Rattus norvegicus: one gene and its partners. The protein of the gene in region 3 interacts with the protein of the main gene of each other region in a pairwise test. Links are inferred from orthologs where the notes say so. Each region holds a gene or a part of one and is shown on either strand. Other genes may lie near its edges.

What was found.
Region 1: the proteins of Rab3ip (region 3) and Trappc6a interact in binary tests that used the Homo sapiens proteins (3 or more experiments, as listed by UniProt). The two-hybrid records come from large-scale screens. The link is inferred for Rattus norvegicus from reciprocal best matches to the Homo sapiens genes RAB3IP and TRAPPC6A.
Region 2: the proteins of Rab3ip (region 3) and Plod3 interact in binary tests that used the Homo sapiens proteins (3 or more experiments, as listed by UniProt). The link is inferred for Rattus norvegicus from reciprocal best matches to the Homo sapiens genes RAB3IP and PLOD3.
Region 4: the proteins of Rab3ip (region 3) and Naa10 interact in binary tests that used the Homo sapiens proteins (3 or more experiments, as listed by UniProt). The two-hybrid records come from large-scale screens. The link is inferred for Rattus norvegicus from reciprocal best matches to the Homo sapiens genes RAB3IP and NAA10.
Region 5: the proteins of Rab3ip (region 3) and Rufy1 interact in binary tests that used the Homo sapiens proteins (3 or more experiments, as listed by UniProt). The two-hybrid records come from large-scale screens. The link is inferred for Rattus norvegicus from reciprocal best matches to the Homo sapiens genes RAB3IP and RUFY1.

What each region holds. Positions count from the first base shown.
Region 1 is NC_086019.1:88,290,508-88,295,059, reverse strand, and holds the end of Trappc6a (trafficking protein particle complex subunit 6A), read right to left. Parts: intron 3,410-4,552; coding exon 3,342-3,409; intron 3,190-3,341; coding exon 3,072-3,189; intron 2,661-3,071; coding exon 2,577-2,660; coding exon of another isoform or gene 2,462-2,576; coding exon 2,368-2,461; coding exon of another isoform or gene 2,252-2,367; exon of another isoform or gene 1,836-2,251; coding exon 1,804-1,835; 3' UTR 1,567-1,803; downstream 1-1,566. UniProt on the Homo sapiens protein: May play a role in vesicular transport during the biogenesis of melanosomes.
Region 2 is NC_086030.1:25,316,217-25,322,060, forward strand, and holds part of Plod3 (multifunctional procollagen lysine hydroxylase and glycosyltransferase LH3 precursor), read right to left. Parts: intron 5,729-5,844; coding exon 5,665-5,728; intron 4,169-5,664; coding exon 4,071-4,168; intron 3,882-4,070; coding exon 3,780-3,881; intron 3,612-3,779; coding exon 3,486-3,611; intron 3,352-3,485; coding exon 3,230-3,351; intron 3,076-3,229; coding exon 2,971-3,075; intron 2,870-2,970; coding exon 2,744-2,869; intron 2,581-2,743; coding exon of another isoform or gene 2,568-2,580; exon of another isoform or gene 2,528-2,567; coding exon 2,386-2,527; exon of another isoform or gene 2,282-2,385; coding exon 2,168-2,281; intron 2,043-2,167; coding exon 1,974-2,042; intron 880-1,973; coding exon 775-879; intron 1-774. UniProt on the Homo sapiens protein: Multifunctional enzyme that catalyzes a series of essential post-translational modifications on Lys residues in procollagen. Plays a redundant role in catalyzing the formation of hydroxylysine residues in -Xaa-Lys-Gly- sequences in collagens.
Region 3 is NC_086025.1:54,443,323-54,449,735, forward strand, and holds the start of Rab3ip (rab-3A-interacting protein), read right to left. Parts: upstream 3,679-6,413; 5' UTR 3,648-3,678; coding exon 3,397-3,647; intron 1,913-3,396; coding exon 1,654-1,912; intron 1-1,653. UniProt on the Homo sapiens protein: Guanine nucleotide exchange factor (GEF) which may activate RAB8A and RAB8B. Promotes the exchange of GDP to GTP, converting inactive GDP-bound Rab proteins into their active GTP-bound form.
Region 4 is NC_086039.1:156,805,233-156,810,273, forward strand, and holds the end of Naa10 (N-alpha-acetyltransferase 10), read right to left. Parts: intron 4,872-5,041; coding exon 4,827-4,871; intron 3,336-4,826; coding exon of another isoform or gene 3,317-3,335; exon of another isoform or gene 3,302-3,316; intron 3,274-3,301; coding exon of another isoform or gene 3,261-3,273; exon of another isoform or gene 3,249-3,260; coding exon 3,164-3,248; intron 2,561-3,163; coding exon of another isoform or gene 2,470-2,560; coding exon 2,233-2,469; 3' UTR 2,146-2,232; downstream 1-2,145. UniProt on the Homo sapiens protein: Catalytic subunit of N-terminal acetyltransferase complexes which display alpha (N-terminal) acetyltransferase activity. Acetylates amino termini that are devoid of initiator methionine.
Region 5 is NC_086028.1:35,205,872-35,211,715, forward strand, and holds the end of Rufy1 (RUN and FYVE domain-containing protein 1), read right to left. Parts: intron 4,021-5,844; coding exon 3,972-4,020; intron 2,019-3,971; coding exon 1,941-2,018; intron 1,586-1,940; coding exon 1,442-1,585; 3' UTR 930-1,441; downstream 1-929. UniProt on the Homo sapiens protein: Activating adapter involved in cargo sorting from early/recycling endosomes. Regulates retrieval of proteins from endosomes to the trans-Golgi network through interaction with the dynein-dynactin complex.

The DNA of each region.
Region 1 (4,552 bases), on a different chromosome or scaffold from region 3:
GGGTTTCTGGCACCTCTTCTGGTAGGGAGGAGGCAGAATGAATCTTAAATAGATTCAAGCTGCTAGTTCCTCTGTGGCCCAGCTTTGTGACTGTGCCTCAGTGACTTCATCTCTCTGGGCCTCAGCTTCCTCATTGCTGAATAGGCCAGGTTGGCACCTGCTTTTTGAAGTTGTCAAACAGTCCACCCAGCCTGGGGCTGGCCCTTGGGTACAGCACTAGCTGACCCACTTTACCAGGTGCTGCTGTGGGCACCTCACACAGAACCCTGGCAACAGCACAGACATACAGGGAGTGGCTTCTGAGCCTGGCCACTCCGTAGGTCCCTTTATCATCAGAAACCACAGAGCCACGGTAGTGCCCACTTCACAGATGAGAAAATTGAGGCCCGGAGACACAAAGCCCTTCCTTTGCCCCAGACCATACAGAGTGGGGAGTTGAAAGCAGGTGGTGACTTCCGGGGCTCTGCCCTGTGTCTAATAGGACCAAGATGGTGCTGGGCAAGGTACATCCTATACTGTAGAACTCTTTCCTCACATCAGCTGGGGTGGGGATGTGGGCTTCCTGCTGTTGGGCCTGGCCACCTTCCTCCTGTTGTGAAGTTTCTTTTCCTTCAAGCCTCTTCTTTAGGGATTGTCCCCTAGGAGGCAGGGATTGTTGAGGTGAACCGTGGGGTGCCAGCTCCTGCTCACAGGCTGTGCGGCAAAGGGACAGAGATCCCAGGCTGCTGGGTCCTGAGAAGGGACTAAGGTGGAGGGACCAGGCAGGGGACACTATGTAAATTGGGAGACAAAGAGTTTAGTTGTAGGAAACTGGGGAGAGGCAGGCTAAGGACCTGGACCAACTCCACAGAGGTGGATGCCCTAGCCACAGCGAACCAGCTGACCCTGTGACACACATCTGTCATCACGTGGGAGGCTGAGGCAGGAGGACCATTTGTGAGTTCAAGGCCACCTGAGCTGCATGAGACCTGATCTTTTTACAGCATTTTATGTGTATGGATGCTTTGCTTGCGTTTATGTGAGGTCGGAACACGGCATGGGATCCCCTGGAACTGGAGTTATGGGTGGTTGTGAGCCACTGTGTGGGTGATGGGATGCGAACTTGGGTCCTCAGCAAGGGCAGCAAACACTCTTAACTTCTGACACACCTGTCCCACCCTGAGAGGTCTTGTCTTAGGGGTGGCGGATTGGAAGGAAGGCTCAGTAGTTAACAGCACTAACTGTTCTTGCAGAGGACTGGATTCAGTGCACATGCGCTTGAGCACAAGCGCACACAATTAAATTAACAGAAGAGCCAGCAGCCCTTGTTACTTCTCAGCCACCTCCATTTGTAGTCCCTGGGCCTGGTGCTTACCCATGCAGCAGTGGGCAGCAGAATGCAGGCTTAAGCCCAAGGGCAGCCCCGGATGCTACAAATACAATCAGAACGAGGTGGCGGGTGTGACCTGCTGGGCCGGGGGCAGCCCCAGACTTGTTGGCTGGCAAAGCCAGAGAGCTAGGCCAGGTGTGCCTAGAGCTCACAGGGTGGGTGTGGGTGGGGAGGGACGTGTGATAAGCACTACACAGGTCTGTTTCCTCATAAAGAACCTTTCTTTATTGAACATGTCTGGGAGATGCCCTAACGTCCCTCCATACCCACTCTGAACTCATGGGTCCCACCTCCCGGGACCCTCCTAGTCCTTTCCTTGGCGGAAGCACATGTGACCTCCCCAGAGCCTGTGAGTGCCTCCAAAGGTGAGCAGTGAGGCAGGGCCAGATGCCACATTCTGAGGCTGAGGTTAGAGCAGGGCAAACCTGGGGTCCTCAGGACTTCTGGATCACCACCTGGAACTTACCTGGAACAGAAGGGCCAAGACAGGAAGCCCGTGAGGGGGCTAGCAGCTCACCCGACTCTGCACCAACAGCCTGGGGGGCCCTGGCAGTGAGCGGGTCACAGGGGTACCGTCCCACCCAACTGGCCCGAATTCCAGACCATAGGGGAGCCCAGAGGCAGGAGGGCTAGCCTGAGCTCCTGACATGTCCTGCTCATTGAACCCAGGTCCTCATAGAGGGGTGACAGCTGTCAGGGCGAGGGGTGTCAAGATAATGGCAGATGGGTGGTGAGTCCACTGTTCCGAGCATCAGGAACCTGGCCAGGGTAGGACATGTCCCACTGGGTCCTGTGCCAGTTTCTTCTCTTAGAAGCACCCAGGGACGCAGCTGGGTATGTGGTTCCGTTCCTGTTACCTGTTTCTGGGCCTCAAATTTCATGTCACAGTTTGTTAATCTGGTTCCCCTTCCCAGCACTGATGAGGGACCAAAGATGGGGATGCCCCAAAGCCTGCACCACGTTTAAGGGAAGCAAACACCCGACCCCCAGTGACTTACAGGCGGGCAGGGACGCCACGGAGGCAGTGACCAGGCTCTGGAAGCCCAGAGTATGGAGGGCGCCGCACAGGAGGCCGCAGGTGAAGGCCAGGAACTGGGGTGGGGGTGGGGGACAGAACACTGTGTGTGGGAAGAGGAGAGGCCAGGCCCCAGCCCCAGGAGAGGCCTAGCGGGGTGGGCAGATGGTCATATCCTGTTTCTCCCAATACCTTGGGGGCTTCCTCTAGGTACTGTGGCCCCGAGCCCATGGGGATGAGGAGGGGGAAGCTGTTGTCCTGCAGCACATAGGTCCCCTGTCAACAGAAAAGAATGTGGGGACTGGGTATTAGCAGCAGGGAACCCACAAACCCAGCAGCCAATCCTTCCGAGACAGGTGGGACACCCTGTGGCCATGTGGCATTAGGAAGGAGTCCTGCCTGGCAGGGGGGCTGGGAGAAGCTGACTCTCTGGCCCTTGATGTGGTGGCAGGGAATGAGCACAGCGTGGGTATTCAAAGGGGACTACTGGGACTTGCCTGGGACAAGAACCGTCATGCTGAGGCCACTGCAGGGATCACTCCTGAGGGGCAGGTTGAAGTTGAAGAAATAGCCCTGCCACTCACTGCAGTCCTGGCTTCCCTTAGGGCTCCAAGGAGCAGGGGTAGACAGTGATACCAGTCTAGGTATCACCCAGAAGCCAGGCTGGAGCTGGGCTCGCACACCCACCTGGTGGTTGGTGCGGAGTCCGTCCATATGCTTTTGGAACATGGCCGCCCACAGATCTTTGCACAGGAACTTGAGGGCATCTAGCTCCTCCCTAACGGCCAGCGTCTCCCGGGGCAGCCTGGATGAGGATGTGGAATGAAGTCTGGCCCATATGGTACATGTGTGGGCCCATGAAACCTTCCCCACCCTCCGTCTTATCAGCAGGAACCCCACTTCAGGTCTGCCCACCCTTCCAAGCCGCAGAGGAAGGCAGGTGGGTCTGGCTCTCACCTCTCACCCAGAGCCTGCCCCACGCGGAAGCCCAGGCCCTCCAGGACTGACAAGCTCTTCTTCTTTCCCTAGAAGGCCAAGAGAGGGAGGCTCAGGAGGACACTGCACAGGTTTCTCCCCAGTTCTCAATTCCCTTGGTCAGGAAAGTTCACCTTCCAGATCCTTCCATCAGATCCCTGGAAGCACTGCTGGTCTCCTGCAGTTTGGTCCCTGAGCCTGGTCCCTCTCACCTACCCCAAACCCATGCTGTCCTGGGAGGTTGGGGCCTAACTGCCAAGTTCACCTAGGCCATCAGTGGCCAGTGCAAACACCCAACCAGAGAAGCAGGGAGTCAGGGGCTGAGCAGGTCCAGGGTTGCAGATGCTAATGAGAATGGCGGATGGGAGGGTGGGGGGATGGATGGCCAACTAAGGCCAGGGGGCTTGAGAAGGGTTAAGAAGTTGTCACAGTGGCACTGCAGACCTGTCACCTGTCACTCCTACTCTCTGGGAGGCTGAGGCAGGAAGGTCATGTGTGCCTGATTACAGAGTGTATCTGTGGCCAGCATGGGCAACAAGGCCAAAACCTATCTTTAAAAACAAAAACATGGGGTTGGGGATTTAGCTCAGCGGTAGAGCGCTTGCCTAGCGAGCGCAAGGCCCTGGGTTCGGTCCCCAGCTCTGAAAAAAAAAAAAAGAAAAAAAGAAAAAAAACAAAAACACAAGACTATAGGCTATCCCTATAACCCCAACATCAGGGAGTTGGAGGTGGGAGGAGGGGGGACGGGGACGACGAGGTCATCCTCAGCCACAGTGAGCTAAGGCCAGCCTGGGCTGTAAGAGGCCCTGTCTCACAGTTACAGAAGGGTTAGGGACATTGCTCAGCAGTTAGGTATTCAGCTAGTAATGCCTGAGACCTTGTGTTCAGTCTAAGTTCAGTCTAACCCCAGCACCACCGAGTTCAAAGGAAATGCCAGCTCAGACGGGGGTGGGGTAGGGTGGGGGTGCGGGGAGGGAGTAAGGGGTTGGGAGTGGGGGGCTGGGTGAAGGGCATCTACATTTCGAATCAAGGTGTTAATTAGCCAGGCTCAGGGTTACAGGCCTATGAGCACACTGCTTGGGAGACTGAGGCAGAGGAATCATAAACTCAGGCCAGCTGGGGCTACACACTGAGACACCCAATCACTCTGGAGGCAGAGGCAGGTGGACAGACCTCTGTGAGTTTAAGGCCAG
Region 2 (5,844 bases), on a different chromosome or scaffold from region 3:
TGTTTTGTTTTGTTTTTTTGTTTTTGTTTTTGTTTTGTTTTGAGACACGGTTTCTGTGTGTAACCAAACTGACCTGGAACTTGATCTATAGACCAGGCTGGGCTTGAACTCAGAGTGCCTGCCTCTGCCAAGAGCGCTGGGATTAAAGGTGTGCACACCACTGCCCAGCAGAGTCTCTTTTGGTCTCTGCCATCTAGAAGAATTTTCTCTTCTATTGTCAGATTCTGATTCACTGCTGCTGGGCCTTTTAGTCTCTGCCTTTGTTAACTCTGCTGTGAATCCACATGACCTACCCGTGTTACCTGGTCATGCTGTCTAATACCCATTGCCCAGGAAAGAAGCACTTTCTGTGTTAGAGCCAACCTTGACTGTCGACTTGATGGGACCTGGGTTCACCTAGAGGACAAGCCTCTGGACGAGTCAGGAGGGATCATCCAGCTTAGATTAAGGGAGATGGGAAGACCTGGCCACCGTGGGTGGCACCATTCCCTAGGCTCAGGTCCTGGCCTGAAAGCAAGCTGAGCAACAGCACTCATCTCTCTGCTTTCCAACTATGATGCAACGTGACCATGTACCAGCTCTCTTACACTCCTGCCATGCCTTCCTACCATAATGGACTTGTGCCTGTAGACTGTGAGCCACAGTAAAAACCCTTTCCTCAAGTTGCTTTGGTCAGATACTTTCTCCCGGCAACAAGGCAAGTAACTAGCATACCCTTTATGAGCCCTGCCCCCGGGATCCCTCCCTGCCCCTCTCAGGTGCCCTCTGCCTCACCTCATGCCGGCCTCCAGACCACTGGCCATAGTGTTCCATTTCCTCCACCAGCTCATCACACATCTGCTCGGTCAGCAGTGGGAACCAGTACACATCTGGGCATGGCTAGGAAGGGCAGGGCAGCAAGGGACAAGGCAAGGTCACAGAAGACAGGCAAGAGGTAGGACAGGCAACAAGGACAGGGAGGGGAGACATACAGGAAAGAATCCATGAAGGGGGTACCCAAGCTCTCCAGGTCGCTGCTGGAGGAGGGGTGCTCAGTAAAGGGACTTCAGCAGGGCAGGAATAGAGTGCCTGGAGCCCCAGCATCTAGGACAATGACCTTGTTCTGTCTTTTCCCCGCTTTTTGAGACAAGGTCTTTGGTAGCCCAGGCTGTCCTCAAACTCACTATGTAGCTGAGGCTGGCCCTGATCCTCCTACTTCCACTTCCTGAATGCTGAGATCACAGGCATGCACTTTGTGCTCAGTTTATCCGGTGCTGGGGACTGAACCTAGGGCTTTGTGAATGCTGGGCGAGCACTCTACCAACTGAGGTACGGCTCCAGCCCATTTATTTAGTTTTAGTTTCAGACAAGGTCTCCCTATGTGATCCAGGATGGCCTTGAACTTGCTATGTGTCTGAGGCTGTCCTGCAACTCCGAATCCTCATTATCTTCTTGCCTCCACTACCTGAGCTCTGGTATTCTCAGCATGACCACACCTCTGTTTGTTTTTATGTGCGGTGGGCACAGCTGTGTGGGGGTTGCATGCGCACATGTGCGCCTGTGCAGGACTGAGGTTGATATCAGGAACTGCTCCATTGTCCTTTCACCTTATCCAGGGAGGCAGGATCTCTCAATCGAACCCAGAGCTCACTGATGCAGCCAGTCTTGCTGGTCAACTTGCTGAGGATCCTCAGCCTCTGCCTTCTCAGGCTGGAATTACAGCCTGATGGGCCACCACACCCATCTGGCATTTCCTTCTTGCCATCTGACCATGTCTGGTCTGGTACCCATTATGCAGCCCAGGCTAGCCCGAAACTCTTCATCCCCCTGCATCAGCTTCCAAACCTCTAAGATACAGACCCATAACACTCAGTGTGGCTATTAGCCTCCCTCTTGCCCGAATAGCAAACCCTTAGTCCCTGGGAGCTCAGCTTAGAACCCACCAATGCCAGCACTGGGTGCTTCACACAGCCCAAGGTCCTGGGGCAGCTTACCTGTTCTACCAGCCCCTCCCCATCCAGGGCCCGGCTGTAGTTCTCATGGATGTACTGTTCTCTCCAGTCCTGCAGGAAGGATTAGGGCACCTGAGTGGAGCCTTCCTCACGCCTACCCTTGGGTTGTCCCTCCCATGTGGGCAATGGTGGTGCGGCTGCTGGCTGGAAACAGGGAGCAAAGGTCCCCCTCTTACCACAGGGTTGTCAAAGATCTGCCAGAGGTCCGGGTGTAAGTGGTCAGTGTCATAGTGGGAAGTAGACAGCAGCCGGCCAAACTCGTGCTGATTGCTGAGGTGCAGGAAGATGCCCTGGAGTGGGGTAAAGGGTGGGCATGCGTGAGGAGGACATCAGGAGGCTGTGACACAGCGTCGAGTCCCCAGACTGGGCAACCCATGCCAACCACCCCACTCACCTTGTCCCGGACACTCCTGCAGAAAGCCATATCTGGGTCTGTGTCGCTGCTGGAGAATACTTCCTTTTCGGGGAGCTCTGTCCTCAGGGTCTCTCCTCGGATCACATATGCCTGGGATATGTAGGGTACATTCCACAAGCCCCTGCAGGCACCGGTGGACAACCCCTCAGACTACGCTTTATTCATTGTTTCAGGCTGGAATTACAGGTGGGCCTTCTCAGGGTCCCCCAGAACCCTGAGCCTGAGCCATCATAGCACCCCTCCCACAGCAGTGGCCTGTCTAGTGGCTGTACAGGATGCTGCGGTGGGACCCAGGGAAGGGCCCCGCACCCCCACGGTACACAGGGGTGGGACTCACACTCGCTTCCGCTGCACCAATTCCACGTAGTCTTCGGAGCGGGCATAGTACTCATCGGGGCTCAGGGCCCCCCAGAAGTTGGACCAGAGCTTGCCGTGGCGAGAAAGCATGGGAGCTATTACCTTCCTGTGAATGAAACGCCGGTGAGGAGGGGCCTCCGTCCAAACGGACCACGCCCCACCCAGGGAAGGGCTGAAGCTCCCAGCTTCATAAGTGCAGTCGGTCACCTGTTTTGTTCAATCAAGATACGCAAGGTCTCCGGGTTCGTGAGGACAGCATCGGCATCCAGGCTAAAGTAGAACTCACACTCGGGGTTCTGCCGACAGCTATCCCTGGAGGGGAAGAGCCACAAAGGGAGAGATGAGCCCAATTGGGGCATGGAGGCCGGGCACGGGGGATGGCGGGAAGAACAGGGCTCTCCCAGTTCTGAGATGAGGTCAATGTCTCCTTCCCCAGAGTGACAACGGCCCAGGTAGACTCACTCACATGGCCATGTCCCTGGCCTCCCCTGAGCTCAGGGCCTCCTCTGGCCCCACTAGCTTTACAGCTGAGAAGTGGTCCTGGAGCTGTGGCCAGGCATCTGCAATGTGAGGCTCGTGGTACACCTCCTGAAGATGGATAGGAGAAGGATGGACTGACAGTCTGGGCAGAGAGGTGGTACACGAGGGATGCAATCAGGAAGGACAGACAGGAAGAGGTGTAGGGTCCAGTGGGGTGTGGGTGCGTGTTCCCCATATCTCACGTTGTTGTGAAGGAAAAGAGAGATCCTGTCCGGCGGGTAATCCAGGAGCAGTAGGCGCTGCAGGAACCGAGGTAGGAAGGGAGTGGGCTGCTCCACAAACACGGCCAGAAGCACCCGGGGGGGAGGCTGGAGGACACCACAGGACAAGGCTCACAGGAGCCCGGACCTCTCTCTGCCCACATCCCTGGCCAGCCAGTCACTCACTGCCCCTGAGGCTACCATGTCAGGGTGGGCAGGAGCTCTGCCCCCAAGGCTGTCCTGCTTGCCCTCTGCCTACATCTCCACTCTCCTCACCTGCCCCCCCGGGAGTGTCCTCCGGTTCAAGTTGCAGAATCCACAGCCTCCCTGGGGAGTCCAGCCATTGGGGACATAGTTCCCCAGGTAGTTAAGCTGGAGCTGTTGAGACAGGGGTTGATTGGCTAATGTGGAGGTGACTGGGGACAGATGGGAAGGACATTGGGCTCAGGAAAAAGTCAGCAGGGTGAGGAGGCACTGTCCCAACCCCTTTTCTGCTGGGACTAGAGAAAACCTGGGAGGTGGTCCAGGAGGGTTGGGGGTACCAAGGGCTAAGGGCACTGGGGACACCTTAGTGGGACCGTTGCCATGGACCACAACAGGAAGCGTGTCGTAGGCCACATTTCGGATGCGCACACGGTTCTGGTCGAACTTTAAGACCACTTCATCTGGGGGGGAAAGGGGAAGATTTCCGAGAGTTCCTTCATTTGGGAACCATGAAGCAACCAGCTCCTTAAAGTGTGAGGTGAGGGGGTCCCCAGCTCCTCTAGTGGACAAAGCGGTGTGTAGCCAAAGGCCTGTAGTTTAGGGTAGTGGTTTTTGCTTTTTGTTGCCAAGCTAAAACTTTATTATAAAAACGTTATTTTCTTAAGTTGTTATATAGTATGTTAGAACGGAGCTGGTGAGGTAGCTCGGTGGATAAAGGCTCCTGCCACCAAGCCTGCCACCCAGAGACCACACAGTGGAAGGAAGGAAGAGCTTCTCAAGCATCATCCTGTGACCTCTGCAGATGCCACGCGCTCGCACTACCCTCCCCTCCAAAAACAAATACATGAGAAAAAAATTGGGGTCCTTTTCTCCCTTTTGTGATGAGTGGCCTGCATTATGTGGCCTGCAACTCGAAATCTTCCTGCCTCAACGTTCTGAGATCTGAGATTGAGGACAGAACACCACACTTGACTTTTCTAAGTCTGACCATGCTGTTGCCCGTTTAGAGAACTCTCCTACTCTACCTGAGTGACCTGGGAGTTATCACTAGGCTAAGGGAGTCAGTTTCTTCACCTGTCAAAGGATCTTCTGAGGTTGGCAGCCAGGGAACACGCCCTTCGCAAAAGCTCCATGTTAATGTAATCACAGCGGTAGGGTCCCTGAGGGGGTGCCTTCGAACATGCTTGGTTGATAGATACCTGAGATCCAACCACTGGTTTTTCTCTTTGTTTTATGGATGGTGCTAAGATTTGAACCTGGGGTTTCTGTATGCTAGACAAACCCTCTACCAGAGCACACCCCCAACCCTTACTGGAGATTCTAAGTAGAGGCTCTACCACTGAGCCACGCCCCCAGCCTCTCACTGGGGGATTCTAGGCAGGGGCTCTACCACTGAGCCACGCCCCCAGCCTCTCACTGGGGGATTCTAGGCAGGGGCTCTCCCACTGAGCCACGCCCCCAGCCCCTCACTGGGGAATTCTAGGCAGGGGCTCTCCCACTGAGCCACGCCCCCAGCCCCTCACTGGGGGATTCTAGGCAGGGGCTCTACCACTGAGCCACGCCCCCAGCCCCTCACTGGGGGATTCTAGGCAGGTGCTCTACCACTGAGCCACGCCCACAGCCCCTCACTGGGGGATTCTAGGCAGGGGCTCTCCCACTGAGCCACGCCCCCAGCCCCTCACTGGGGGATTCTAGGCAGGGGCTCTACCACTGAGCCACGCCCCCAGCCCCTCACTGGGGGATTCTAGGCAGGGGCTCTACCAGTGAGCCACACCCCCAGCCTCTCACAGGCAAATCCTTGGTACCCTGCTGCCACACCACATTCCCAGCCTCACTACCACTAACACACATGCATAGGCTTCAGGTAAGTATGTTTAAGCATACTGGTCAGCTGTAGAGCAACCCAATTCTGGCAGGAACCCATCCCTCATCATCCACCTCTAACCACCATCCTCACCTAAGGCTCCATTGAGGTTCTGGAAGATCCGGGATTTATGGTCCAGGCTAAGTTTGAGTTTCTCCTAGATGGCATAAGACGGAGCAGTGAACACAGATGAACAGGTGACACTCTTATATCTCTCCAACTCTCTTCATGCATTCCCTCCCATTTAACCGGGCTGGGGTTGGGGTCCTTATC
Region 3 (6,413 bases):
CAAAAGGTCAATGGCATAATTTTAATGCATAAGTTATCAGAATTCAGAAAATACTTGCAATATTCGAGTTCTCCTCAAGACTTGAGTCCTACACATTGACATTAAAGCTATATTATGGGGTTGGGGATTTAGCTCAGTGGTAGAGCGCTTGCCTAGCAAGCGCAAGGCCCTGGGTTCGGTCCCCAGCTCCTAAAACAAAAAAACAAAAAAAAAACAAACAAACAAAAAACCCAAAAAACAAAGTTAAAGCTATATTATACTCATCCTAATAAAATTCAGTATGTATATGCTCATATAACATAATCATTTCAGTTACCTCAACCCAGCTCCAAGTACTACAACCTAAAGATTTCAGAGATTCTCAAGGGAGCTAGGAGATAGGCACGCAGGAACAAACATAAATGAATGTTTACGTTCATTTATAATAGATGGGGGACACATGCCTGAACAATGTCATAAACAAAGAAAGAGTGCATGACATATCTTCTCAATTTTTAAAATACAAATTAGTATTTGACACAACTGTCAAAATTATGTACATGGAATCATTCATAAACTTTACTTCTGCTGTCTGTGGGGTCAGGAGCAATACTTGTTTTATTCTTAATTTTGATAATCTGTCTCTTATTTTTCCTGTCAGTCTTGCCAGAGGTTTGTCAATTTTATTGGCTTAAAGAATCCATATTTTGTTTTATTCATTTTCTATTTCTCTTGTTAATTTCACTGAATTCTGCTCTCAATCTTTACCATCTCATTCTTCTACTCACTGTTCGAACTCTTCTTTTATTTTTAGGCTAATAAAGTAACATTGTTCACCATGAGTTTTCCTAAGCTAGAAAGAGGGCTAAACAGTTAAGAATGTCTGCTGCACAATCACGAGGACCAGAGCTCATCCCAGCACGCATGAAACAAGTCAGCATCCTAGCATCGCCTCTAACAGCCCAGCAGCTGGAGAGGACACAAAAGGACGGCCGGGGCTTGAGACCTTCTAGCCTAAGCAAGAGAGCAGGTCCAACAGAGATCCTGCCTCAAAGGAGCAGACAGAGAGTGACAGAGGAAAACATCCCATGCTGCCTTCTGCCTCTACACACACACACACGCACGCACGCACGCACGCACGCACGCACGCACGCACGCACGCACGCACGCACACGCGTGCCCTGTCTCCTAACACTATAGAGTGTGCTCTGTGATTCCGTCTCAATTGGGGCTGGGGGACAGTAAGAGCTGGCCATATTATCAAGGAAAGAAAAGTCTCCAAACAAAATACAGGCAATTTTCACAATTAGCAGAAGAAAAAACAGTAACAAACATTATTGCAACAATTCCTCCAAGTAAAAAGGCCTAGACTGGAGGCCTTCACAAGCCAATCACCTAAGTGAACCATGTGGAACTCATGTGGGATTTAACCCGTGAAAGAGTATTACAAATAAAGCAAGACACACGGTAGTCGGTCCATAGCTTCAGAACCTCAGTTCTCCAGTTCCTACTCCCAGGCAGAGCTTCTGAATCTCTAAAGCAATCTCACAAGCCACAGATGCTGCCTGCCCACCGAGGTTGAGTTAGGTAAGGCAAGGCTGTTGAGGCCATTCATGCTGCCACCCCAAGCAGTCACTTCTAACACTGTATGGAAGGACAACATGAGTTTCTTACCCTCTGAGCTTTTGCAAGTTCTTCTTTTAACCTTTCGTAGCCCTTCTCTCTAACTTCCAGAACAGATGGGCTCCGTAAACGGGACAGGCTGTCCGTGCTCAACCCAAAGATGTCATCGTTGCCAGCAGAAGCCTCTGTGACGGTGGCGCCCTGCAGAAACTCCCTCTCTGCGTTGCAGCTGTCCTTCCTTGAGGTGAACCTCGTGAGCCCTGCTGCCACCTCAGAGGCTACCGATGATGCTGGCTCTGGAACATGAATGCTGGAAGGAGAGAAAGCTCAGAGGTTTGCAGCGAAACAGTGAACTTGCCAATCTACATCTCACTAACCGCAGGTCCTCAAACCTGACACTTCAAGTGCTCAACAGCCATGTGGCTGGTGGCTATCAGTCATACTGCACACCACAGAAAGTGTTACTACAAACTACTTCTCAAGGAGCCTCGGGGCTCGAGGACTGCAGCCTGAAGTCTAAATCAAGTCTCCGCCTGTTCCTAAGACCCACAAGCCCGAAACAGATGACTAGAATTCAGTGACACTGAATGACCTGCAAAAACTGTATGAAGTCTCTATGGCCACAGGTTCTACTGGAACAGTCATACTTACACATTTACACAGTCTGTGGCTGCTTTCACACCATAGAAATAACACTGAAGAGTTGGAACGAAACCTGTATGGCCAGGGCTGGAGCGGTGGCTCAGTGGTTAAGAGCACCTGCTATTCTCACAGAGGACACAGCACCCACTCAGTTCCTGGGCCTCCACAGGTACCATACACATGCAGTACATAGACACACATGCAAGCTAAACAACCACATATAAAACATAAGAGCAAATAAAATCTTTAAAAAAAGAAATCAACTATGTGGCCTGCTAATGTAAAAAAATAATTCATTTGCCTGTAGTAAATGTCATCTCTGAGGGCTACCACCTCAGTCTGCTAACCTAGGCCTAGTCCCAGAAACTTCTAGTTTCTGTACAATCTAACGTAGGCCTAGAATTCCACCTCTGAGACTTGCTGCTGAATAAGCTTGCCCTGTCTAATTCTTTCTGAACTCTGGCTGGCTGGTCAACTCTGCTATCCTGGCTCAAACTCCTCTCTGAGCTGATGGATCCAATCTGGCTTCTCTCACCTACTCCTGAACTGCTCTGCTTAGCCTCAAACTAACTCCGACGATCTGTTCTAACCTTCTGGCTCCTTCTCATTCTCTGGCTCATGCTGTCTTCACCTGTGTCCAGCCTGTTCTCTCTTCAGCCTGTCTCTATAAGCTGACCCAGTAAAATTGCCTCCTTTCTCTCTGCACAGACCCTTAAGTAGCTTCCCTTTCCTCTCTCTTCTCTTGAGAGTCGGACATATCCTATTCTGTCAAATCTTTCTCTGATTCGTCACTTTGTGGCCACTCAATTAGACATCACTTTCAATCAAACATGTGCTTCCTTCAACAAACTAAGTTTACCTTCATTCTTTGGGATTAAAGGAGTGTACCTCCCAAGTACTGGGATTAAAGATGTCTGCTAGGGCTGAGCCACACCAAAACCAGATACAGGTTTTTGTGATCAGTTATCCTGCATCATATTAAACCTAAAACATTTTTTTGGCTGATCATATTCATAAACTTGCCGATTCCTGGTCTAAGGATTAAAATGCATCACTCTACATGGGCAAACATATTACTCATATTTTCTAAGACAAGCCAGCCAACTCTTAAAAATAACAATAACCCAAAGTACGTGTGCTATAATCTCCTACCTGATGTTAGATATTTCTGCACAGTTTAAATGCCTCGGGGATGAATACACAGGCTGTGTGGGAAGGTCAGAAAGATTTAAGGCATTGGCCTGGATAGTGGCAGAGCACAACGTCGAAGGGTGTGGCCGGTAGATGACGCTCGGGGAGGTAGTCTGCTCTTGGGTTCCCGGGTCACACACACCAAGAAGGTCTGGAGAGGTAGGCGAAGCGAGGTTCACTTCATGGAAACCTTCTAAGGGGTCGTTAGCCATAGCAAGACTTCATCATAGGACAGCCTAAGCTAAGCACAAAAGAATGTGGTTAATCCTAGGCAAAACCAAAATCCACACAGAGCATAAGCTTATGATAAAATACAGTCAAAAAACAACAATAAAAAGAGTCCAACCGCTTGACATTTACAAAGAGATCTCATGGTAAAAGTACTACGCAGAAGTGATTTGGGAGAGATGTGGAAATATAGAAATGTTGTCACAGCTGATACAATCCACAGGCATGAGGGAAGAAGAAAGCTTTCTTAATTTCTTCTATATCTATTTCTTCTATAACCTTGGTCAGAAAAAGCAGAAAGGACAGTAAAGATAAACACACACGCATTTAGAACAAGGGAGTTTAGGTCCAACTAACTTAGTCTATGCCCCCACTGTGACTTTCAGACAAACCAGTGGTTTTCATCTTGAAATCATTTCAGATTTCATAAGAACTTCAGAGCTGCCATGAAGCAGTCCTCATTACCAGGGTGCTAACATTTGTGAGCCACTTGAGAATGTTCAAGCCACTGTATGTACACAGACACAAGGACATGTACACAGCTAAGTCCAAGGATAGTCTTCCAGCTAATCATAAAATCAGTATCGAAATCTAGGTGATAACAACTGACCACAATTACCACCAGATGCGACCATGCTCCACTCAGAGTGCACGGACTGCTCCAAGGTTGGACTTTATGGGTTGAGCAGATCCAGTCCCAGGTTACATGCTTCACTTCCCTAACCCAAACCACGGGACGGGCCTAAGTACTCCGTCTCCTGGGTGTGGCGAGCACTAAAGAAGACAAGCCCTTACAGCACTGTGCTCCTGTGAACATTACCCACAGCCAGAATAACAAGGACACTTTGATTTCTACATCAGCAGGAAATACTTTGTACAGCATTGTTCAATAACTTTACAAAGTCTATACAACAACAACAACAACAAAAAAGGCAGGTCTCCCTCAAGTTGTCCTCTTAAGACTCTTGTAAACTATTCTTTGATCCCCCCCCCCCACACACACACACACAGGGAAAAGTCCAAACTCCCCTTCCCATCCTCCCTCCAGCAGCTCTTGGAGACTGAATGATCCTTCCCAGACCTGCAAAAGCCCAGCACCAGCTGCGCACACCACTTCTTCCAAAAATACAAAAATATTTACACACCTGTAAACTGAAAACTTTAATTATCCCCTATCACCAATAAAAACCCTTAAAAGAATATCCAGAAGAGACTAAAAATAGTGTGGAAAGTCCAGAAAGAAGACAGTAGACTCAATATTGATACTCTCTCAAAATTATAGATTACTACATGGGTATGTAGGAACAACCAAAATTTTACCAGCTAAATCTATAAACTCCCAACTTCAAAGTAAAGAAATTAACTAGTAACACATTTATTAACAGCAGACGGCAATTTCAGACCTCAAAGTTTAATGCAATGCAAAATATTTACTGTGCCAAATGAAAACTCAGATAATACTTCCTAATTTGTGTTTTATTGAAAAGAACCATTTTCATTTTTTACATAATTCACACACAAAATACAGCCAGAGAGGTTATACTAAAAGTATGCATTTCATTTGTCTCTGAATATAGTTCACTAATTCCTGATAGAGTTAAAAGAACTGAGCCTTATTCACACTGACTGACTTTCTAAACCTCTGACAGCCTTCTGTATGTACAGACCACCATGCTCATCTGCCCCACTGCCTTCTCTCAGCCTCTCCCACTCCCACCGCACCTCCTCTTCCCAACCAGCCCCTCCTATCACAGGTCCTCATTCACCCGTGCAGGTCTTAGGCAGGTAGCCACAGCTGCTGCGCCCAGCACTGCTGCAGCCACACCACAGTCAGGCCACAGCCAGAGAAGAGCATCTCGCAGCGCCCTCTCTACCCCCGGCTCCTACTCCGAGCGCTCTGGCCTCTTACCAGTCTCTGCGCTATTCTTGCTCTGGCCCAGCTGGGAGCTGCACTGGCCTCTGGGTATTAACACACGTTTAGGAGGCAGCTGGCTGCATGTCCCACTTAGCAAAATGCAGGAGTATGATCTCCGCTAGGACCCGATGCCCCCAGTCTGTGGTGTGGTTTACAGTATCAATCATTTTTCTCACCCACACAGCAGTGCTCGCATCAATGAGGAGACTGGTTAATCCCACAACCTTCCTGCCGATGGTGCACCAGTGGGCGCGCCCGCTTCCTGCCGATGGTGCACCAGTGGGCGTGCCCGCTTTGTAGGTCAGAACTGTAGCCTGCAGCTCTACAGCTGGTCCAGCCCTTTGACTTTCTCCCCTCAGGAGACTACACCTTCTGGCACTATGAGCACCACCAGCCAGCGGGAAGAAGCTTCTAGCTCAGAGCCAGCCTGCTTTCTCTGTCCCATATCCAGTATATGGTGTCTTCCTTCAGCTAGGTTCTTATAACCTAGTTCTGGTGTTAACCAAGAGCAGTGGCAGCAGCCTGTACTCATCTGACACTTTATCCTAACTACAATCCTTCCTTCTGTCCCACATAGGTCTAACTCAACTTTGTGTATATACCTTACAGGCTCACCAAACTACAAGACGTAACAACACCTTAATTTCTAGGAATGCAAAATGAGATAGATCTTCTGGAAGAAAGTGAGGCAATAACAACAGGTTCGTGCAGCGTATGGCCCAGCATGCTCTTAGGGCTGCAGTCCACGGATAAACAGGCAAACCAGAAAAACAAAAAACAGATAAATGCATCGTTTGTAAGAGCAGAAGTCTGACTTTATAAGGTGAGGACAGCC
Region 4 (5,041 bases), on a different chromosome or scaffold from region 3:
GCTGCCTGCCTGTCTCCGGAACTCTGCAAAAAAACATTTTTAATATGTGGAAGAATGTACACTTGGTCCTGAAGGATTATGACCACAGGGCTGATGTGATCAGACTGGCTGGCTACTCTGGACAGAGGAAGATGAGACGGAACCCTAAGGATAGTGAGGCTTGGAAGAGAAAAAAAGGATTGGGGTGGGGGTTGGAGATGGCACAGGGGTTCGAAGCACTAACTGCCCTTCCAAAGGTTCTGAGTCCAATTCCCAGCAACCACATGGTGGCTCACAACCATCTGTAATGGATCTGATGCCCGCTTCTGGTGTGTCTGAAGACAGTGACAGTGTCATCATATACGTAAAACAAATAATGCTTTAAAAAAAAAAAGATTAGGCAGTGAATGTAAGACCTGAAGAGGTGTCCCCGGAGTCACCCCCAGCCTCCGCTCACAATGAAAGAGGCGGATGCCGCTGAAGCAGGGGAAATGTTGGGCCCCCAAGGCTTCGCAGGGCTGCGGTTTCCCCCTTCACTGCTCCTACCTCCGCCCAGGAAACCTAAACGACTACGGGCGGGGCAGACAGCAGAGCTTCAGCTGGCCGCCAATGACACCTAAGCAACCAGCGCAGAGGGCCGGCCTCGAGAAGCTTCCTTATGCGCCTAAAGAGGATCCGCAAGCTCCCCCACCCACCATTAGGGCACGGCCGAGCCAGTGCGCATGTCGGCCGCCCTGCTTCAGGGCGGTGGGTCTAGTGCTGCAGAACCAATCAGAGCCTGAGAACTAAGAACGTCACCGGCTTGCGAACAGGAACCGACATCAGCACGCTGGGTGGAACAAGCCGCTGATTTAGCCAACCAGAACGCAGTTTCGCTTGAATCAGAGATGGGGCTGTGGCTGCGACTGCTGCTGCTGCTGCGAATTTTCTTCCCCGGGCTCTGTCCTTTAGTCGCCTGTTTCTCAGTTTCTAATAAATGATTTGTACAACCAAATAAAGTACTAAGCTCCAGAACAAATTATTCCACATAGTGGCGGATCGCTTTGTCACTTGCAGGACCAAGGACATTATTAGTATAGTGACAGTTCTTATATAAAGGTGCATTGCAGTTAGGTGAGCGGCCCAAGGAAAGCCCACCACCTAGGACCTAGGAGCCACTAGTGATGGTCTAGAAACCACGCGTACGTTTAGAGGAGCAAATGTTAATGCAAGGATGAGGGTGTGATAAAGCATTCGGAAGTGGGGTGGACTCACATTTTCTTTTTAGTTCAATTTTATTTGACTTTATGCACCTACCAGAAACTGCAGAAATATTACAAGACATTGAGGGTATCCTGATGGTAGTCAAGAACTAGATAAAGCATAGAACTGTCTTGTCTTGTTTTTCTGCATAGCCTTGTCCTGAACTCATTTTGTAGACCAGGCTAGTTTGGAGCTTAAAAGACAGATCCACCTGCCTCTGCCTCCCAAGTGCTGGGATTAAAGGAGTGTGCCACCACTGCCTCACAGCAAATATAAAATATTAATGGAGGAGTGGTTCACGCCTGTAATCCCAGCACGTTAGAGTCTGAGGCAGGATTGGCATAGGTTTGAGGCCAGCCTGGGCTACATAATGAGTTCCAGGCCAGCTTGGGCTAAGTAAGAGATCCTGTTTCACAAAAAAATTTTTTAAAAGGCTACAGATAGGAAAAGCCTGAGCAACTGGGTAACTGAATAGGCCAGGATCCAGCTAGGATCTCTCCAGATAAGTGCAAAGAGGAGTTGGACTTAAGCACTTGGGGTCCAGGAGGTATAAACTGGAGCTCCTACTGATGAGAGAGCAAGTATGACTAGGAGTAAAGGGCTGAGAGGGTAAAGCAATGCAGCAAAGAACATCAAGGTAGGGGAGCTGCCTCTGAAATGTGAGGCTGAATAGAAAACCCAAGAAATCATTTTGTTCAGCCCTAGAAAATTACTAAAGATGTTACAGAGATCTGTAGAAGGCCAGGAAAGTGACATGAGAATATGGCACCCAAGACAGTTTATCTGCCAACTCCAACTCAGTTGTTGAAGGAAGCCAGATTGGGGTCCCATCCTCAAACATTTGACTTGTGAGCTCAGTACGCTCTGGGCTGTGAAGATAGTATCCCTGCCATATAGGAGCTGGAAAAAAAGCATACCCCACTATGCACATTCACAAATTTCCCAAGGCCACTGGGTGACATTTATTGTAAAAAGCACATGGGGTGAGGTTGGGACCAGGTAGGGCAGGTTCTAGGAGGCAGAATCAGAGGCCTCTGAGCTGTCTTTGACATCTGTGCTTTCTGTGGTCTCACTGACCTCACTGAGGTCCTTGCTGTCCCCACCACTATCCTCAGCAGTCAGGCCCTTCTCCTCACGACAGGCCTCTCCTGAGCTCAGAAGCACGTTGCCTTTGTTCTCCGCCTTGTTCTCCATGGCCGACAGCACCATGTGCCTGCCCTTTTCCTTCAGCTCCAGGTGCCGCCTCAGCTGCCGCCGGGAGCCCAGAGGGAAGCGGGTGGAAAGAGACAGGGCCTAAGTCTCCAGACAGGAGACAAGAGGAGCCAGGCCCTGGGGCTGGCTGGGGGAAGGGACACAGTGAGAAGTGGTAGGGCCAAGGCAGGAAATAGGACTGGGTAGAAATGTAGTTCAATCCTACCTCTGTCCTAAGCCTGCTTCATCTGTAAAATGACATGAGTTCTATTGCCCTCAAATACGCTGCTGGGAAGCCCCCAAGACAGAGCAGTGCCTTTCCAGGAGGCTTGGTCAGAGAGACCCTTTCTCCCTAGCCCAGTTTAATCCTAGATCTGAGCAGGCTGCCCCCAACCATAGTAGTCCCAATTCCTCTGTTAAAAAAAAAATCTTCCTACTGTCTCTCCTATTCCACCCATCTCCAGACTTCTTCCCCAGAAAGCATCCCATGGCCTCCTTTACAGTCAATGAAGGCCATGCCCTGACTTGACAGCTTAGGGAGTAAGGGAAAGAGGGGCTCTGATTCCTAGCTTTACAACCACAAAAGCTGACACTCAGTCTCGGTCTTGCCTCTAGTCGCCACTGCCTCACTCTGTCTCACAGCTCTTTGACATCTGTACTTTCTGTGGTCTCACTGAAAATAGACACCTTTCCCAATTACAGAATCTCCTCTACTGCTGGAATTGCTGCCCTGGCCTGGCTGAACTCTTACCTCATCAGCCATCTGCGTGAGGTCCCGCTTCATTGCATATGCATCTTCCCCATCTGCATAGTATTTGGGCTCCACTTCGCTGATCCTGGGGGTAGGATCAAGACACATGCCTAGGGGCAAATTCTCCAGGTTCTTAGGCTACTGGGGTAAATGTCATCTCCCCCTGTAGGACCTTTGTAGAGGCAAAAAGCCAGTGTAAATGGGTTTCTCCTTTTTGTTTTTCATTTGACTGGATTCTTGTTCAACAGCTATGATAGTTTTCTCTGCTCTTCAAGTAAAGCCAAATAGCATGTAGCATCCAGGGCACTTCTGATTCCTAGACTTGCTACCACTTTGTCCCTAGCCCAACCATCAAGGACTTGTGTATTGAGTTGAAGTCCTTAATTCTGCCTTCCTCTCCCTGACCTGCTCCCTGTTATTTACTGAACACATAGTTCCTCTGCTAGGAAAGAGGGACACTGTACCTGCATGTAGATGGTCATCATAGACAACCTGGTTACTCACCAGATGGATGAGGGGAGGGAGGTGTGTGTGCACAATTAAGTATCCCTGACACTGGAAGAGAAACCCGTTGATGACCTAGGAAGGTTCCTTGCCAGTCTTTAGGGATACATGCTGGGTAACTTCCTCAGTTGCTTTCCATCTTATTTTTTTCAAAATAGGGTCTCTTACTGAATCTGGAACTTGTCCATTCAACTAGGCTTGTTGATTAGTGAACCCTAGGGATTCTCTTGTCTTAACCTCTTCAGCACTAGGATAATAGGTACAGGGCACTGTATGTGGCTTTTATACATGAGTGCCAGGCATCAAACACAAGTCCTCACAATTAAGCTATCTCCTCAGCACCCATCTTTTGAGACAGGGTCTTGCTATGTGGTTGAGACTAACCTGGAACTCCCTATGCTGGGACTGCAACCCACAGTCCTCCACTTTGAGTGCAGAGATTAAGAGACATGTACTACCATACCCAGCTGGGAACTGCTGACTTAGCAGGTAAAGCAGTTCCTGCCACAGAGGCATCTTAACTAGGTCAAAAGTCCCTCCATGAATATGGATGTTGAACCCAGAAAAGCTGAAGACCACCATCCTGTTCCAATGGTGTCATCTTCACTGGACCCCCTCAAAGTCTAGTGTGGCTCAGTGGTTCCTCAAGTTAGTCTATTCGAGCCTCACTTTCAAGTGGCACTAGGTACTACTAAGTCCTCTCTTCATAGAGATGGTCATGTCCAGAGTCCTGCCCTCAGCCATCAGAAACACTCAGAGCAATAGGTCCCTCATTGCTTTTGCTCATGGCCCCCTTTCCTTGCTGTCCCCTTTCATCTGCTCTTACTTGATGCTTCCTGGAGCCAGCCATTTCTCAGCCTTTGCTCATGCTCTAGTCTATCTCTCTTTACTCCTAGACTATCACAGAGAAGCCCTGTGAGTCCTTTACCACACTGCCCTTCACCAGTCTCACTAGTACCAAGCCACCCCTCCTATACCCAACATATATTGGACCCTCCTCTACCACACACAGAGAAAACAGATGCTTTCTTCAGGTCAGTCAATAGCCAATGAGTATACAGAAACCCTCCCAGCAATGTCTAGAGTCCCTCAACCCCTTTCTCAGCCCAGCAAACTGGATGGATCATGCCACTTAAAGAAAATATCTTGATGTACTTACTGAAAGTTGAGGGTGTTGGAATAGAGATGTAGGGCAGCCCGGTTACTGTAAGGGAAAAAGGCATTGCTGAGCTTCACAAACTTGGCCAGACAGGTTGACAGGTTAGGGTTAGGGCTAGGGTTAGGGATATCCTGCCCTTCTTCCTTGCCCCCTCCCCTTTCCCACTATTTCCCCATATTCTTATGAAGGCAGTAAACCCCAGAACCACTATCAAT
Region 5 (5,844 bases), on a different chromosome or scaffold from region 3:
ACTGAGTTTGATCCCTGGACTCCACGTGGTAGAGGGAACTTCTAGTAAGCTCCTATCTGACCTGTACCCTGGCACTTGCCTACTTCTGCCTAAAGAAGTCTGAGAACACTGACCTTGGGAGGGGTATGTGAACTTGCACTGGGTGGTACCATAAGGAAGATAGACAGTCTACATGACCACAGATGTCTGCTAGCACTACAAGTCTCATGTAGCTACATGGTCCTGATGGATGGCTCAGCTTTGCCATGGTAGAGATGGCTCAGAGGTTAAGAGCACTGACTGCTCTTCCAGAGGTCCTGAGTTCAATTCCCAGCAACCACATGGTGGCTCACAACCATCTGTAATGAGATCTGATGTGTGTCTTATGGTGTGTCTGAAGAGCGGGACATTGTACTTACATACATAAAATAAATAAATTGAAAAAAAAGTACTCAGCCAGTTTTCAGTAAGTTACTTGAGGTAACCCAACATGTATAAAATAGGTTTTGTGTGTTTTGTTGGACATGGTGGCACATGCTTAGAATGCTAGTACTTGGGAGGTAGAGGCAAGGGAATACCTTCAAGGTTCAAGTCTTGGCTACATTTGAATTTGAGACCAGACCAGGCTATTTGAGACTTAGTCTCAAAAAAAAAAAAAAAAACCTGTTAGCCATCTGCCTTTTACAGGCTCAGTGTTTTGAGGACTTTCAAGGCAGGCTGAGGCTGTACAGTGGTCGTTATTGGCTCATTTGTACTTGACTGCAATGCAGATGTAACTCCACTTTGAGTCAGGCATTTGTGTAAGTAACTCAGTTGGACTTTGGTGACAGGCTTGAGGTCCTTTACCCTGGCTTTGGTTCACCTGGATAGAGCAGCCTGAGTCAAAGCAACACAGCTGAAGAGCTCAAACCCAGCAGGCCCTCCTCCCCAGGCAAGCTGGAGGCCAGCACTTTGTACAAGAGTGAAAAATAAAGGACTTTATTGCAGGGCTAACAGTAGGAGTTGCCAGGGGCATGATGGCCAATGCTGGGTGCTGAAGCGGACAAGGCACGCTGACAGACCCACACGGTTCAAAGCACAGCAGAAATCAAGGTTTCTGTGGGACGCGGGTAGGAAAGAGGATTCTGTACTAGCAAACTGCTGCAAAACAGGTCAATCCTCCGAAGAGTGAAAGTGGCATAGCAAAATTGTGAGTTTGCACCTGTCCCAAAGCCAGGACATAACCGAGGACACGAAGTATCTACAGGAGCCGGCTCCACATAAGCCATGGAAAGTGCTCAGCCGCCACTGGGCGCTCTCTTCAGAGGCTGACGGCCTGGTGAAGGCTTCATTCTTTCCTTTGATTCTCTTGGGTCCCTGCAGGTCTCTGGAGATCCCAAGTTTGGCACTGTACCTGAGGCTCCCTCCACTCTTGAGGATGGAGGTCAACAGGCTAAGGTCCCTGCTGGCAGGGCTGATGGCTTCAGGAGGCTGTGGAAGAGCAGCGCTGCAGTAGCAGGGTATGGCAGCTGTCACACACACGCACTGGCTTAGGGTAGGAGGGCAGAGCCAGCTCGTTGCTAGAGCAGGTGTTGCAGAAAATGTGGCCACAGTTCCGGCAGTGGTGCTAGAAGTCGGGACAAAGGCAGTTAAGACTACTGGGGAAGTGGGACCCCACACCTATCATGTAAGGCATGGCTTCTCTAAATGGCTATGTCCTAGACCCATGTGCTTTTAGGCAGCCTCTAACTGATCAGGTGGTTTGCCTGTTAGTCAACCAATTGGTCCTGCTGCATATAGAGGACTGCCAGTGTCATACACACTTGCAGCAGCTCTACACAGAACTACACATGGCTCTACACATGGCTGCCCCACCCATGCCAGTCATTAGAGAACGTGGGGCTAGGGGCTCAGCCGATCAATGGGCAGAGCTGTAGTGAAAAGAGGCTTTTCCAGGCAACCAAGGAGTGGCTCCTACATACCTTCCTCCGGGAAATGGAGAAGTCCTTCTCACACTGCTTACAATGTGTTGCCTCATCATCTTTCAACCATGTGTGGCCCTGAGGAAGAAAGAGCACCTGAGAACTGTACCTCCTGGCAGTCCCTGGCAGTCCCTGGCTGGCTGCACCTACTATCTTGTGACTGCCTGCCGCATTTTCTCACCAGGCCTTGCTGCTTCACTAGATGATGACGTCTGTTCTCTCAAGTGGCTGCAGTGGACTTCGCATGTCCATATAAAGTGCCTGCTTACAGCATCCTGGCCGCTATCAAGGCTGATTCAGCAAAGATGCTATCCTGTCCTTTTGTTTGTTTTGAGACAGGGCTTCTCTCTGTAGACTTGGCTGTCCTGAAATTCACTCTACAGACTAGGCTGGCCTTGAACACAGAGATCTGACTGCCTCTGGTTCCCAAGTGCTGGGATTAAAAGTGTGGACCACCACCACCTGACTTCCCTGTTCTATTAAGTTCCCTGTAGCTGAGGTCACCACAGTCAAACTCCAGTGCCTGTAACCCCCATGTCTGGCCTGAGCCATGATCCCATGACTAGCTAAATTGGCTGGAGGGAAGGCTGACCAGATCTGAGCATGGACTTCTGCAGAGACAACATGCAGGGGAGGGAAGTTTTCAGCCCAGTGAAGCTCCTCTGGACACCCGGCCCTGGGTCCTCAAGAGGCCTCGGGGAACAGCTTAGCTACTTTACATAAATGAAAACGGAGGCTCTGGAAGAGGATGTCTTGCAAATTTTTACAAGGGAAAACTAAAGTGTATTCTCCCTTAGGAATTCTGCAGAAGTGTGAAGGGCCCATGACACCCTTTACCAGAGGAGCAGGCTGCTGGGGCTACCTAAGGTACTCCCCCTTACTCTTGAAAATCCCTCTGGAGCTGTCGGCTGCCACTGTCACGCACACACTGCATAGCAAGACAGAGACAGCAGCCCCCAACAATTACAATCAAGGAGCTTCCTTCAGGGCTGGAGAGATGGCTCAGCGGTTAAGAGCACTGACTACTCTTCCAGAGGTCCTGAGTTCAATTCCCAGCAACCACATGGTGGCTCACAACCATCTGTAAAGGGATCTGATGTCCTCTTCTGGTGTATCTGAAGACAGCTACAGTGTACTCATATATAATAAATGAATAAATCTTTAAAAAAAAAAAAAGGAGCTTCCTTCAAGAGCAGGAGCAGCCAGGAATCCCTACTCCTGCTGGGCTCCCTTTGAAGGAGCCCCTCTGCTCTGCTGTGGCAACTGGATGAGGAGGCCCTCTCTACCTGGCACCTCGTGGACATGCAGAGCAGAGACCCTGCTGTCTGCTAACTTCTCAAGCACACAAGGTCAGAGAGCCAACGGGCATAGCGTCTACCAAGAGCTTGGGCTTAGGGCTAGGGTCTTAGAACAGCAGCCACCAGCAGCTCCTGCCTGTCCACCTGCAGCGCTGACGTCTCAGAATGCCTGCTCACTGTGCTGTCACCACTGTGTGTGTGTTGGGGGGGCACTCTGAGTAGTCTTTATTGTTCAATGAGACAGTCTCATTGTGTAAGCCTAGCTAGGCCAGCCTTCAACTCCGTGACTGGTGGCCTTTGCCTCCTGAATGTTGGGTTTGCAGCACTGCAGCACGCTGGGCTGTGACTCTGTTGGTAGAAGTCATTTTATCTAATACCTCCATTCTATCCATACCTCCATTCTATCTATACCTCCATTCTATCCATCCCTCCATTCTATCCATCCCTCCATTCTATCCATCCCTCCATTCTACCCATCCCTCCATTCTATCCATCCCTCCATTCTATCCGTCCCTCCATTCTATCCGTCCCTCCATTCTACCCATCCCTCCATTCTCTCCATCCCTCCATTCTATCCATCCCTCCATTCTCTCCATCCCTCCATTCTCTCCATCCCTCCATTCTCTCCATCCCTCCATTCTCTCCATCCCTCCATTCTATCCATCCCTCCATTCTCTCCATCCCTCCATTCTCTCCATCCCTCCATTCTATCCATCCCTCCATTCTATCATACCTTCAGAGCCTTGTTTACTTCCTTGATGTCCTCCATCTTCAGTTTGGACCTGCAGAAACAGAGACAATGTTTCAGCAGTGAACGATGAAGACACAGCTAATGTACTGACTGGGGTGGGGGTGGGGACGGGTGCTGGTACGGACGGACCCTGGAGTGGAAGGATGAAACAGGGTGCTTTTAAAATGCTCCCCATTTCTGTGACTCTCCAGCCTTTAATGGATGAACAGCTCCTTCACACAGAAGAGAGGCTTGCACAAGCTTTAGGTTGGTAGAACTACGTCAGCAAAAATGAAACACTGTGCTGGCGATCTGAGGGGAACCTTCTGGATTTTTTTTGGTGTGTACGTGTGGGATGTGTATGTGTGGTGTGTAAGTATGGCATGTGTATAGTGTGTGTGCATGTGTGGCGTGTGCATATGTGGTGTGTGTGGTGTATGCGTGTGTGGTATATATGGTGTGTATATGTGTGTGCGGTGTGTGTGTATGTGTGATGTGTGTATGGTATGTGCATGCGTGGTGTGTGTATGTACGGTGTGTGCATGTGTGGCGTGTGCATGTGTGGTGTGTGTGTGTGTGTGTGTGTGTGTGTGTGTGGGGTGTTCTCACATGCTTGTTCGCACATGTCAGATGGGAACAGATGCACGATATTGGGTGTTCTCCTTGATCACTTTTCCACTTTACCTCACCAGAGCTTGCTGACATGGCTAGTTTAGCTAGTCACTTGCCCTGGGGGATAGCCTGCCTACCTGAGTGTTGGGATTACAGGCAGATTACCTACCCACTGGCTGTTAGTGTAGCTGCTGGGATCCAAGCTCCAGTCCTCGTGCTTGAAGAGCGAATACGTGCTCTATCCAATGAACTATCTTCCCAATCCCATGTGTAGTTTAGACTGGCCTCAACTTTGTGATCCTCCTGCCTCCACCTCTTTAGCGTTTCCAATTGGCACAGGCCTTTTGGGCCCCTGCCCCAGGCTCGGAAGTGCAGGTTGGTGCAGGTAGACCATGACTGTAGCACAGAGTCTACAGCCCTTACTTTTATTTTTGTGTTTTATTTATTTACTTTTTTGAGACAGGGTCTCAGGTTCCAGGCTTCCCTGGAGGCCAATATGTATACCAGAGTAGCCTCAAACTCAGAGATCCATCAGTCTCTGCCTCCCAAAATGCTGGGACTAACAGTGTCCTCCACTATGCCTGGCAATTAACCCCAAGTAATTGGAGACAAGTTAAAATTCACTCTGTAGACCAGGCTGGCCTTGAACTCAGAGGTCCACCTGCCTGTATGCTAGGATTAAAGGTGTGTGCCACCATAGCTAGCCTTGGGCTTTCTTCAAAAGCTGATTATTCTTAAATACCTTAGATTGCTAGGTAGATTTCTGAGATAGGCTGAATTAAGCCAGAGCTTAAACATAGCATCAAAACATCCTAAAAACCGCCAGGACCTTTGTTATTGACTAGCAGGTACCCCTTTTCCTGTCCAGCTGCAGAAAAAGGCCAGCAGACTGACTGAACAAGAGGCTGACCTGGCATGGCCCTGCAGGAAGGGGAGATAGGGCGAAGTAGCTACTTGGGCAGTCCTATCTGGGTTGCATGTACACCTAACTCTGGACAGCCACAACAGCATGGCTTAGAGGGACACAGTGACTGAGCATCTCCAGGTAGGATTCCAAAGCTAGATCACGTGGCAGCACTGAGACAGCCCCAAAGTCAGAAGCCCACATCTTTGAGGACCCTAGGTATAACTCTGCTTTGTGCCCATCCATTGTGGGGACAGGCAAAAGGAAGCCCCAGGTATAAACACAAGTAGCCCCCTCCAGCCAGCTCCACATCTGCTCCTGGTGAGTGCTCCTGGGCTGCAAGGAGTTCACCTGAGCTTG